3 linked regions of the Oryctolagus cuniculus genome follow. The protein of the gene in region 3 interacts with the protein of the main gene of each other region in a biochemical or structural test. Links are inferred from orthologs where the notes say so. Each region holds a gene or a part of one and is shown on either strand. Other genes may lie near its edges.

Region 1 (4,195 bases), on a different chromosome or scaffold from region 3:
GATGCCAGCATCCCATAGCGGAGTGCTGGTGGGAGTCCCGGCTGCTCCGCGTCCCACCCAGCTTCCTGCATGTGCGCCTGGGAAGGCAGCAGAGGATGGTCCACGTCCTTGCGCCCCTACTACCCATGGATGGAGTTCCTGGCTCCTGGCTTCCGACCTGGCTGTTGCAGGCCTTTGGGGAGTGAACCACTGGATGGAAGATCTTTCTCTCTATCTTCTCTCTCTTCTCTCTCCCTCCCCGCCAATCTATCACTCTGCCGCTCAAACAAAAAAAAAATCAGCCTTTAAAAAAGGAAAATGAGTTACTATGAAGGCAGTGCCTGGCCCACAGCAAGCACCTGCAAAGGGACTGCTGTCGCTCCTGGGATTTCACCTCCTCTTCCCCCCACCAGGGGTGGTACTGCTATTTGTCTGCCGGAAGACGGTGCTCCAAGCGAGGTCAGCCTGTGCACCTGCCAGCCCCAGCACGGTGCCCACCTCCCTGGGTCTCAGGCGCAGCCCTTACTTGGCAAGATGGTCCTGTAGCGGTCCTTGGAGGCATGCCCAGGGATGTCCAGGTCCTCGGGGCTGACAAAGTTGGAGGGAATCTTCTGGCAGGGCGAGAGGAAGTGGGTGAGCGGCACTACCTTCCCAGCCTCCTTTGCTCCCCTTGCACCCTTTCCTGGTGGAGCTGGGCCCTGGCTGTGCCTTCTTGGCGTTTGTGTGGAGGTGCGGATGTTGGGGAGGGCAGAAGAGGAAGCCTGCGGGCAGCCTCCAGCCCGGAGCCCTGGACTTCTCTTTCCTACGGAGCCCAAAGAGGAGGACCTGCCCCCCATACCTGCTGGAGAAGGGAGCCGGCTGGCTGCTCTGCACCAGGAAGGCAGAGTGTGGCAGAGCGCGCCCCAAGTTCTTACCAAGAATTCCTCCTCCAGCTGCTGGGGGCTGGGCGGCTGGTGCTGCAGAGCCCACCGGGTCAGGGGGTGTCCAGCTGTGCGCAGGAAGTGCAGGGTGACCTCCCGCGGGGTGCTCACCGAGCAGATGGGCTCCACGGCCCCCAGCGACCGGACGTCCAGCATCAGAGCCACGTTGGAGCCCCGCCTGCAGGCACAGCCACCCGGAGCCGAGTGAGCACCCGGGGTACTGGCTTCCCTTGCAAGTGTTGTCATTCCAGGGCACATGGGAGGAAGCTGCTCCGCATCTTCCCCATGACCCAGGGGCCCAGTGGGTGCCAGGGGCCAGGCCTGCTGCACGCCCTTCTCCCTTGCTCAACCTCGACGCCGACTGCTCCTTCCAGCGGCCGGCCCCTTTCCGCTGCCACCCCAAGCCCTGAGGCTCGGGCACCAGGAGGGCCCCTGGCCTTGCCCCACCTGGATGTAGGGACGGGGCTCAGGGTTGACGTGAAGCCTCATGCCCCAGACATGCAAAGCACATGCAAATGAGCGCCACTGGTTTCCTGTCCAGATTGGGGCCCGCGGCTGAGCGGAGGCTCATGGAGGCAGGGGCCCCCTCCCGGGGAAGAGCTCACCTTTCCTGCAGCCGCACATGCCTCTTGGCAGGTGCTTTGGCCGGCAGAGGCTGGGTCATGACTGCCCCCCACGGCGAGGTTGCTGGCTGTGTTTTGGAGCGCTGCTGCCACAGGCCTGGACCATGCTGGGGTGGGGTGCTGGGCCCAGAGGAGGCTCGGTTGGCCAGGAGGTCCCCCTGAAAGATGGGACCCTCAGTGGCTGGCCTCTGGCTGCCTTCTGTCTCTAAGTGCCTCTGCTTCCTCTGTGGGAGGTCTGTGTCCCCCAGCACACGGCCTCCTTGTCACCATGGGAGGGCCCGCACCTCTCTGGTGGGACCCAGGGCAGCAGGCGGTTTTGGGTGAGAGTAAGGGTGTGATAAGGGCTGGAGATTATGGGTGAAGGTAGGAAAGACAGCAGAAGGAGGAAGAGAGAGCAGAGAGGCCGGAGACCAAGGAGCCCAGGGCTGGAAGCTGGGGTCCGGGTGAGAGAAGGCGAGGGAGGACGTAGGAAAGCTGGGCTCCATGCAGAAGCAGAGGGGAAGGCGCCCCAGATCTCTCCTGCAGGAGGAGGTGGAAGCCTCTGGTGGCTGGAGGGCCAGTCAGGACCCCGAGCAAGCCGGGCTGCTGGCCGCCAGCAGGATCCTCCCCCAGCTGCCGGCATTTCCACTTCCAAGTTCATTTCTGGCTTCTGGGGTCTCTGTCCAGGGAGGTCGGCTGGGGATGTTTCCTTCCTCCTCCTGCCCATCCCCCCTATCTCCCGCCTCTGTAACCGTCACAGGAAATGGCCTCACCAAGCCCTTGAGTGACAGCGCGTGGTGAGGCGACAGCCCGGGGCACGAGAGGGGGGCACGGAGGTGATGGGACCACCTCCTCCTGGGGGGCAGCCCCCATCTCCCCAAGCCAGGGTCCCAGCTGCGAGATAGCACGGGGGTGGGTGGGAACTGTGGGCCCGCAGGGACAGAGGTGAGGGGACAGCGTGGGCCCCGGGCAGGTGTGGTGCATTGAGAGTGTTCCCCAGCAGGTGCGGATCCTCTGGCCTCTGTTCTCCTGCAGCTGCCTGTGGCTGCCCTGCGCTCCCAGCCTCGGGCCCTCGGATGTGCCAGCACCCAGTCCCCACCCGACACAGCAGCCCCCGACTCACCCTCGTGCACGCCCTACCTGGAGGCCCCGGCCGGTCCCTCGGGGCCCACGCCACCCCAGGGCGGTAGCACTGCCAGGTGCCCCTCTGGTACTCACTGAAGCAGCCGTGTCCACCAGGCTGCCTCCTGCCAGCTGTCTGTCGGTCTGTCTCTGAGACTGGGGAGGCTCCAGGAAGCCAGCTTCCTCCCTCCGCCCCTCCGCACTGCCACCCACGCATACCCCAGCTGTGTGCTGCCCTCTTGCGCCTGCTGCTGTCACCACCAGGGGTCCCGTGCCTTCTGCCTGCGCCTGCCCAGGGCGGCCAGGCTGTGTCTCAGCTCCTTTGCCGGGCCCAGGCCCTGACCACCCCATTCCTCTGGCTCCCATACCCTCTTCACTCCTGGGGGTTTCTCCTCTGGGCCTTAGGCCTGCCCAGCCCTGCCCCAGCTCCACTCCGTCCCACCAAGGACCCAGCTCGCTCCTGCGTCACCTGACTTTGGCTTCAGACTTCTTTCTACTTCTTCGCTCCTGCCCAGAGCCCTCTCTCTGGAAGCCCTCGCCGCTGTAAGCCTTGGGCCAAGCATAGGCCGCCTCCCCCCAGAGCGGTGATGCAGGAAAAAGCGGAGGCAGGGGTCTGGGGTTCCATGACTAGAGACAAAGGCCTCTCCAGGTCTCTCCAGTCCCCAAGTTCCTCAGCACGGGGGAGCAGAGAGCAGACCCCCTTGGGGAGAGTCTGAGAGGTGTCCCCCGGGCTCCAGCCCCAGCCAGACCCCCTCAGAGAGCCATGACATCCACCCAATAGACTTACACACTGTAGACAGCCTGGCCTCACACCAGCCGTCTCCACACGTCCTCTTCACTGCCAGGGCACCTGGATGCCTGGAGCCTGGGGAGCGGCCCCCAAGTCCAAGACTCCACTGACCCCTGCCCCAGCCTGGCCAGCAGCCCAGCAGGCTCATGATGGCCGCACGTCTGCTCGCTCCTTGCAGCATTCCCGACACATTTCCCGGCCCGGCCTCTGCCAGGCACAACCCGCATCCTCTCTCCTCCTCCCACTTCTCTGATTCAGCCGTCACACAGTGACAGCAACAAAGACATGATGTATAAAAGGCTCAGGAGGTGGGCACCCCGAGGGGGCGGTGGGGAGGGGGCTGGCCTCTGCTTGCCTGTGGGGGAGAAGGTTGAGGGGAAGGACAAGGATGCCGCTTTGGGGCTCAGAGGTCTTTAGCATCTGCCCTTGCTCCTGGAAGCAGGGACAGGGCCTGGCTCCTTCTTCCTGGCGCCTGAGCCCCTCTGCAGAGCAGGTGCATGTCCCAAGGAGGCGGCTGGTTAGGGCTGGGGTAGCCCGGACTCTGGTGCCCAGGTCAGGGTGGCGAGCAGGGGCCTGGGAGTCCCTAGCATCCTTGTGGGTGGTGACCGAGGCTGGCTTCTACCTCGACCCCCACAGGGCAGTGTCTCCACTGTGTTGGGGGGGGCACTGGGGAGAGAGGAGGGCCTGGAAAGAGGGCCAAGCCTCTGATGGTTATCGAGAACAGGAAGCTAGGATACCACAGGGCTGGGGAGGAGGAAGTGGCAAGGCTGTCCCCCCACTGC
Region 2 (4,295 bases), on a different chromosome or scaffold from region 3:
CTGAAATTCTATTTTTCACATCTATTCATGCAATAAATTCTTACTGAGCACCTACTGTATACCAGCTACCTTTTTTGTGTGTGTGAACTGGAAACACAGCAGCCAATAAGCAGACAAAAAGCATAAGTTCTCATAGGACTACCCTTCTAATGGGGAGAAACAGTAAACTGGCCAGTGTCAGAAAGCAGAAAAGGGCAAAGGGACAAGCAAAACAGGAGAGGGGCCTGAGCTCTGCTAAGTGTGCAGGATCAGGGGGTGGCCAAGAGAAGTTGGTTCTTTTTTTGCTAGAAACAGCATTCTGAGCAACTTTTTGTAAGGCGTGTGCCTTTAAGTAGTGTATCCCAAGCACCACAGCATGATGGAACAGACTGTTTACTGCAATAACACGACCCAGATGAAACCAAGTTCAAGCGCTCCTTTTTTTTTTTTTTTTTTTGACAGGCAGAGTGGACAGTGAGATAGACAGAGAGAAAGGTCTTCCTTTTGCCGTTGGTTCACCCTCCAATGGCCGCCGCGGCCGGCGCGCTGCGGCTGGCGCACCGCGCTGATCCGAAGGCAGGAGCCAGGTACTTCTCCTGGTCTCCCATGGGGTGCAGGGCCCAAGCACCTGGGCCATCCTCCACTGCCTTCCCGGGCCACAGCAGAGAGCTGGCCTGGAAGAGGGGCAACCGGGACAGAATCCGGCACCCCAACCGGGACTAGAACCCGGTGTGCTGGCGCCGCAAGGCAGAAGATTAGCCTACTGAGCCATGGCGCCGGCCTCAAGCGCTCTTTAGAAGCTGCTTTTCCACCTGTGCCTTTAGGCGAGCTGGTATTACAGGTATTCGTTTTGGGAACGCATTCTTTTGCTAAAGCAACATGCACCTACCTTGTTCACATATAAACTGGCCTTCTCCGAAGCTGATTTTGCATGTGTCTTCACATAGTGTGTGCCATGCACCTGTGCCATTTGAACAGAGCCCTGAAAGGAGCCAAGCAAAGCTCCCAGAGGAGTGGGAGAAGAAGCAATGCAAAGGGCCCGAGGTTGGGCACGTCTACTGTGTCTGAAGACCAGTGCCGAGGTGGCCAGTGTAGCCAGGAGCACAGTTAGAGGGGGTGGGGTGGTGGAGGCCAGAGAAGTGACTTGTTTCATTAACTCACAGGTATTCTGTATTTATGCTGGAGGGGGTTCTAGTCGGTTCCGTCATTTTACAAATGAGAAACCAAGTGCAGGGAGAACATGATTAAATCATGCCTGTGGGGTCACCCAGCTAAAAGGACTGGGGCTGGCTGGGTGCTGAGACAAGGTGTGGCATGGAGACAGCTCTGCAGGCACCGGAAACGGAAAAAAAAAAAGAAAAAACCATGGAGGTGGGAACTACTTTGGTTTTAAAGGAGTAGGGTCTCACACGGGGTGGGATGAAGTGAGAGAGGGGAGCTTCAAAAACTGTTCTGTGCCCCTAGCACTTACTGGGCCACCCTTGAATAAGGCATTTAACTCCCTATGCTCCCATTTCTGCAGTACCTATCTCCTAAGACTGGTGAGGACCGACTGAGTTCCCTAAAATAAAACACTTTGCCTGGTACATAGCAGATGCTCAATAAATGTTAGCTCCTCTTGGTATTCTCATCACCACTATCGCTAATGTATTCATTCATTGTGGTGGTGGCAGGATATCCGGGTGGCTAAGAGTGTGTACGAAGGAGAGTGCTCCACAAGGAAAGGGGGAGGAAGAGAAAAATGTACAGGCTAACCCTCCTGGGGGAGGTATGTAAGGCAGAGTGGGAATGCAAGAACACGGGGGGGGGGGGGGGCAGGAAGGCCATGGTACAGATACCTTACAGGGCTAACATTCATCTGCTAGCAGGGAGAGGAGTAGAAAAAACTTATTGACTCCTGTAGGAAAAAGGAGAAAGCCCAAGGACTGGAGTGGCAGTGTACAAAACAGGGAGGCCACGCAGGGCAATGGGCTGCTAGCTCGGGGGATGTGAGCCCAAGCCTGGAGACAGATGCACCGTAAAAAGGGAGGGCGCGTTGACAAGGCCATGCACTGATACATTAGGGGACTGGAGAAGGCAAGGACATACTCAGGTGGACTCACTGTTAAACAGGAGTGTGTATGTCTGTGCGTGTGTGTGTTGGTGGTGGGATATAGCGCCACGGATTGATTCGCTATGGGGAACAGGACGGGTGGAATAAACAAGGCCACAGAGGGGCCCCCGAAAGTTAAGGGTGCAAGAAACGCAAACACTCAGACGCACCTACTATTAAGGGGGCTGGACAATGCCACAAACTGGCTCTCTATAAGTGGGGGTGGGGGGTGGGGCAAGCCAATGGACGAGTCCACTGTAAATTGGGGTGTGGAGAATAGAAGCACGCAGACCGATCCATTATACCGCGGAAGGGGGACGATTAGGCCACGGTCAGATCCACTATAAGAGGCGAAGGGAGGAGAGGGCATGTCATACGCAGGTCCACCAGCTGTGGTGGGGCGGCAGTGGGGAGTGGAACACTAGCAGGCCACGGGCCAAGCCACATTCCCCGCGCGGGGGCGGGAAGATACATGGGGTCATGGACAGGACCCTCCACCCTCCAGGCCGGGGCTCACCTGTGCGTAGCGCTGCAGTGGCGGTGGCGTAGCTGGTGTTAATAGCTCCGGGGGGCGGGGGCTCCATACGCGGCCCCACCGCCCCCCAGGCCCGGGTTCCGAGGCGGCGGCGGTGGTGGCGGTGGCGGCGGCAGCACCTAGAAGCCGCCCCTGCGTTTCCCCACCGCTCACGTGGGCCTGTGGAGGAGGAGCCCAACGTCCCGCCGCTTGCTGATTGGCTAAAGAGCCAAGGCTAGAACGCACGGCTTAGGGGCTCAGCGGGGCGGACCCTGCCCCACAGAGCCATTCCGTGATTGGCCGAAGGAGAAATGATGTGCGCGGACGGACACCCAAGTCCCGAGGCGGCATGCTAGCCCTCGCCGGTGCTCCACGCTGATTGGCTCAAAGAGAACCGACAGATCGTGGTTAATTGATAAGCTTGGGGGCGCCTGCCTCACACTGATTGGCCTAAACGGAATTGATGGCAGACAGACAGCCCCTAAGAATGGCGGGCGCGCGGGCCGGGGTGGGGTGCGGTGCTGTTCTCCGCTGATTGGAGGATTAGACTCCTAGACAGCTGCCAAAACACCAAGCAGGCGGTGCTGCACGCCACGCTGCTTAGCGGAAGCAGGACTTGTATAGAAATGGGCGTAGCAGCCAGCCGGGCTCTGCGTAGGCGGGCAGGGTAACTCTATAGTGATTGGCTAGAAGGGACGAATTTAGAAGGGAGCGGGGGTAGGAGGGCAGGATGGCTGCCAGACTCGCAAAGGAGCGTTGAGAAACTAAGTGCTCACAGAAAAGACAGGGTCAAGCTGTGGCTAGAGTTATTAAGGGGGCGGAACCTGGCTCTGTGCTGACTGGGGGGCTGGACCAGGGAGGGCAGAATTTGGCTCTGCGCCTATTGGTGGAAACTGGAAGCAGAGGCCAAGGTTGGGCTGAGCCTGGCGTGGGTGTAATTGATGGTACCTGAGGAACGATTGGGATTTGGGAGAAGGGTTAAACCTTAGGGCTAGGAGTGAAAGGCTGATTGCCATGGGAACAAACCTCCACCCTGAACCTGTCCATTCTCCATGGCAATTCAAAGGGCGATAGCCAGTAAAAGGAATGCAAGGAAGGGTGTGTGTGTGTGAGGTTGCCATGGTGACAGAGGGCAGAGCCTAAAGTCAAGTAGCAAATGCTGCCAGGCAATAGGCCGGAGGCAGGACTTCCAGGGTGCTTTAAAGGATCCATAGAGAAACTAGATCTTCCAATTAATGCTGGACTCTGGAAACAGGGTGCCTTGGCAACCCGCAGGAGTTAGGGGGAAAAAGAAGGGCCATGTGACTCAAAGGCATTCAGGATCTTTAATGTCGGAGGATGCGGTAAGTAGTCAATGGTGAGGCTTCTCTGGGAAATTCTGCAGGCCTTGTAGTTCTCTAAGCCCCTGAAAAAAAGGACAGAAAGGATTTAACAAGGGACGGGTCCAGGCCCCACCTCAGGCTTGCTCTGACCTCCCCGCCCTTGGATCCAGTTTAGAAGGAAAGATGGTCCTTTCCTTCGTCGGCTCTCTCCCTTCTTTAGGTCATCACCCTAACCACATCTGGACATAGAGGCTGGGAGTGGAGTGAGCTGCTCTCACCTCTAGCAACATGTGGATATGGGCCTTGATAGTCATGGAGTCCTTGGTGAGGCTGTTGCTGAGCCTGGAGAAAAGAAACGAGAATGTGCAAAGTGGGCCCCACTTATGAA
Region 3 (4,196 bases):
AGGGGGAGGCACGCAGTTAAGGAAATCAGGTTCTGGTGATGCGGCTGCACGTCCCCGCACGTCCCCTCACCTGGGGTCCCCGGGACCCGGCAGATCTGCTAACCCCTGTCAAGAGCCGGGCTGAACTCAGCAGCAGGGCACAGGGCCTCTCACACCCCCGGCAGGTGACCCCGAGCATTCTCTCCTGCGGCCCTGGGAAATGGGGCTACTAACAAGCTGTCCAGGGCCGGAGAACATGCCGGTTCAGAGTGACAGCTCCAGGGTCCACCCAGTAATGCCTCAAATCTCCACTGGGGACTTAAAAAAAAAAATCACTGAAATTGATTCTGGTGCAAAAAACCCCGTCAAAGTCCACTAATTCAAGGGGTCTTCAAAAAGCTCCTGGGGGGCTGGCGCTGTGGCATAGCGGGTAATGCTGCCGCCTGCAACACCAGCATCCCATACGGGCACTGGTTCGGGTCCCGGCTGCTCCACCTCTGATCCAGCTCCCTGTTAACGTGCCTGAGACAGCAGTAGAAGATGGCCCAAAAGGTTGGGCCCCTGTACCCATGTGGGAGACCCAGAGGAAGCTCCTGGCTCTTGGCCCAGCCTGGCCCAGCCCTGGTCATTGTGGCCATTTGGGGAGTGAACCAGCAGATAGAAGACCTCTCTCTCTCTCTAATTCTGCCTTCCAAATAAATAAATCTTAAAAAAAAATTATCCAAGTATTTTGATTTTTTTGCATGAAAATAAAATGCCTGCCTGTTTGTGGGAGGACAATGAGAGAGGAGACACCCCCCACAGCACACCTGCTCAGAGAACATCTGGCCCGGCCTAGATCTCCTGTGTTCTCTCAAAGGGAAATGCAGTGACTTGCCCCAGGTCACACGGCAAGCTGGGTGAGTATGGAAATCTCCCGTCCCTGGTCTGTGGCAGGGCTCTGGCCATGGCACCCAAATCCCCACCCTTGGATGGAGGACTGGACTGGGACCAGCAGGTGGTATGGGTGGGTGGCGAGGAGGCGACGTGTGTCGCAAGGCCAGGTTGAGCCAGGCCGGAAGTGGACAAGGAGCAAGAAAAGCACTCTTGGGGGAGGGCATTAAGGCTAAGCTGTCCCTCCCTGGGCAAGGGGCAGGTGCGCGGGTGACCAGGGCGAGGCTCTGAGCAGGAAGTCCCAGAGAAAGATAAGGACCAGCTCCCGCGTGGGGGAGGGGTGAGGCAGCCACAGAGACACCTGCTTGGGGGCTGTTCCGGGCCTCAGTCCCCTCATCCTTGGGACCCAAAGGCAGGGGTAGCACCTGACACGCAGTAGGCCCTCAAGAAAAAGCAGTTTTCTTCCTCCCTGCTGTCTTTCCAGTCTGGGGATCCAGAGAGAAAGAATCACCAGTCTGTTCAGCAAGAAGTGACCGTGGGCAGAGCAGGTCACATAACTGCAGACAGCAGAAAACAAAGAGCCCAAAGAGACCTTGGCGCCCAGGCTCCCCATGGAGGCTTGGGGCAAAGAAGGGACCTGTCCAAGGTCCCCCTGCCTGACAGCCGCAGGTCAGGGGGGGAGGGGCCTCTGGCCTGTCACTGCCTTCATTTGGGAGGGTGGCAGGGCAGGGGGGAGCCCAGCTCTGGAGGCCCAGGGGTAGGATACACATCCCTCATGGCTTCCAGGGTGGGAGCCCGAAGAATGTCCCGGATGCCGATGACGTTCTCATGGGAGAAGCGTAGCAGGATCTGGATCTCCCTCAGCGTGCGCTGGCAGTAGGTCTGGTGTTCGAAGGGACTGATCTTCTTGATGGCCACGCGGGTCTTGCGCACGTGGTCATAGGCTGAGCTGAGAGGCCCAGAGAGACGTCGCTGCTGGTGTGGCCATGATGGTGGTGGTGATGGGGGGGGGGGAGCGGGAACCAGGCCCAGCGGGCCCCACCCAGGCCAGGGGCAGGGAGGGAGGGGACAGAGCAGGAGAGGGCTCTGGCCAAGTTATAAACAATGCTCGTTCCTTCCTGCTGTGAAGGCCTGGGCTCTCCAGGGAGAAAGCTGGGGACCAGCCAGGCCGCCTTTCGGTGACTTCACAAACAGAGGAAGACTGGCCACTCGCTGACTTCCCCTCTGCTTGACCCCCTTCCATTCTGCCCAAGCCCGGGCCTCCCTCCCCACCATGGGCTGCCTCAACCCACCACAGGGCCAGGGAGCGGGACCGAGGGGCGGGTCTGGGCCGAGGACAGCAGAGCAACTTCCGGTCGGTGCAAAGGCCCAAAGCACACAGTAGGGCTGGGCCAGCTCCCAGACCCCTCCCCAAGATGCAGGCAAGCAGGCACTCCCCACCTCTCCTCAGGCCCGGAGGCCCGAAGCCTCGCCCCACCCAGAGCCCTGCCTGTGCCGCTCCACTCCTGGGCACAGCCTCGCTTGGGGACTCCAAGGCACCCTAAGGTCCCCTCTCTCAAAAGAGGGTCCTCGTTCACCAAGACTACTGATTCTCGTCGCCCCACGCGGGTCTCTAGGGCCACCGCTCCCTCAACCCCAGACACCCAAATACCGCTGCTCCCTTCGGGGCGGAGGGCTCCCGTTCAAAGCCTCCAAGCCCCCTCCCCTAGGAACATGGGCAGCGCCCCCTCCCCCAGAAAGCACCCCAGGGCTCCTATCCCGGGCATACTCCACCAAGCCTCCAGAGTGCCCAGGTTCTACAGGCCACTCCAAGTCTCCACGGCCCAACGAGCCCCCTGCAGCCCTCCTCCGCCCCCTCCTCCGGGGTTGCCCCCTCCCTTGAGGCCGCCCCCTCCCCCGGAACGCCCCCTCACCTGACCATGCCGTACGCGCCCTCGCCGATGTACTGCAGCTGCGTGTAGCGTGGGCCCACGTCGAACGGCTGCCCCTTCACGACCTCCACTTCCCCGGGGACCCCCGGGCCGACCCCATCGGCTCCCCGGGGCTCCCCGCCCCCGCCCCCCTGAGCCGCCGCCGCCGCCGCCATCTCCACTCCTCCCCTCCCGCCCGCCCTCCCCACGGCGGCCCCGCCCGAGGCCCCGCCCCTTCCCGCCCGCGGGGCCGCGCGCGCCAGGCCCCGCCCCCGCGCGCCGCCCCCGCGCGCCCCCGCGCCCCCGCGCCCTGCGCGCGCCGCGGAGCCGGGGCGCGCGCCCGCGGACGTCACGTGGCCCTCCCCGCGCGCGTCCGGCTTTCCCGCCGCCGGGCAGCGGTGCTTGGTCGCTGCGGGCTTCCGTGTGCTGGGAGCGGGCGCGCCGGGCGGCTGTAGGCGCGGTCCATACCCCCTCGATTTCTAGGCAGCTGGCGGGTGACTTCCCCAGGGCCACCCGGCCAAGGTGTGCTGGGGCCGGACGCCCCCCACCCCGGAGTGCCTGGCCTTCTGGGACCAGAGCTGCTCCTGTGGGAGCCCCCTGGGGGTCCTCTCGGCCCTTGGTGGTTTGGCCTCCTTGAGCCAGCTCTGCTCGGCTGCCGAGGGAGTGTACTTGAAATCAGAGCCGCGTGGAGACCCACCTGCCGTTTAAGGGTGAGGCCGAAGCCCGAGGTGCTGCTGCCGGCGTGGGGTCCAGGCCCTGGCCCTCCCAGCAGCTGCAGCAGGGCCAGCTGTTGCCCCCACGTGCGTGCCAGGTGGGCAGGTTTCGTTAAAATACACTTGAAGAAGGAAAGAATCTGGGGCGGCGCTGTGACATAGCAGGTGCATCCGATATGCATCTCGGCTGCTCCACTTCCAATCCCGCTCCCTGCTAATGGCCTGAGAAAGCAGCCAAAGACAGCCAAAGTGCTTGGGCCCCTGCGTCCATGTGGGCCCATCCAGATGAGTCTCCTGGCTCCCGCCTGGCCCAGCTCTGGTTATTGGGGCCATTTGGGGACTGAATCAGGAGATGGAAGATTGACTTTCTCTCTCTCTGCCTCTCCTTCTCTGTAACTCTTTTAAAGTAATTAATCAATTAATCTTAAAAAGAAAAATCCAGCTTGTTGGATTTGGCAAAATTGAACTCACAAGAGGGTTGTCATCTTCCTGATTCTCTCAGTAGGCTGAGAGGGGCCAAGGTCAATCTTGTTCCTCACTGGATCCCCACCTCCCACCCCCATGCCTGGCACTGAAACATTAAAAAAATTTTCTTTTTGATGAATGAATCAAATTTTAAAAATATATTTCCTTTTTATTTGAAAGGCAGAGTTACACACAGAGAGAGATCTTCCATCCACTGCTTCACGCCTCAAATGGCCCCAATGGCCAGAGCTGGGCC

What was found. The genes of interacting proteins can lie anywhere in the genome.
Region 1: the proteins of MAPK3 (region 3) and PTPN7 form a complex in vitro, tested with the Homo sapiens proteins (3 studies listed by BioGRID, with this or other methods). The link is inferred for Oryctolagus cuniculus from reciprocal best matches to the Homo sapiens genes MAPK3 and PTPN7.
Region 2: of the proteins of MAPK3 (region 3) and ELK1, one has a biochemical effect on the other in vitro, tested with the Homo sapiens proteins (6 studies listed by BioGRID and IntAct, with this or other methods). The link is inferred for Oryctolagus cuniculus from reciprocal best matches to the Homo sapiens genes MAPK3 and ELK1.

Annotation. Positions count from the first base shown.
Region 1 is NC_091444.1:17,997,095-18,001,289, forward strand, and holds the start of PTPN7 (tyrosine-protein phosphatase non-receptor type 7), read right to left. Parts: upstream 2,809-4,195; 5' UTR 2,720-2,808; exon of another isoform or gene 2,642-2,719; intron 1,681-2,641; 5' UTR 1,564-1,680; coding exon 1,505-1,563; intron 1,078-1,504; coding exon 894-1,077; intron 591-893; coding exon 506-590; intron 1-505. UniProt on the Homo sapiens protein: Protein phosphatase that acts preferentially on tyrosine-phosphorylated MAPK1. Plays a role in the regulation of T and B-lymphocyte development and signal transduction.
Region 2 is NC_091453.1:33,155,606-33,159,900, forward strand, and holds the start of ELK1 (ETS domain-containing protein Elk-1), read right to left. Parts: upstream 2,809-4,295; 5' UTR 2,589-2,808; intron 1-2,588. Other genes in the region: protein UXT, read right to left, coding at 3,864-3,990. UniProt on the Homo sapiens protein: Transcription factor that binds to purine-rich DNA sequences. Forms a ternary complex with SRF and the ETS and SRF motifs of the serum response element (SRE) on the promoter region of immediate early genes such as FOS and IER2.
Region 3 is NC_091450.1:7,472,586-7,476,781, forward strand, and holds the start of MAPK3 (mitogen-activated protein kinase 3), read right to left. Parts: upstream 2,939-4,196; coding exon 2,766-2,938; intron 1,802-2,765; coding exon 1,619-1,801; intron 1-1,618.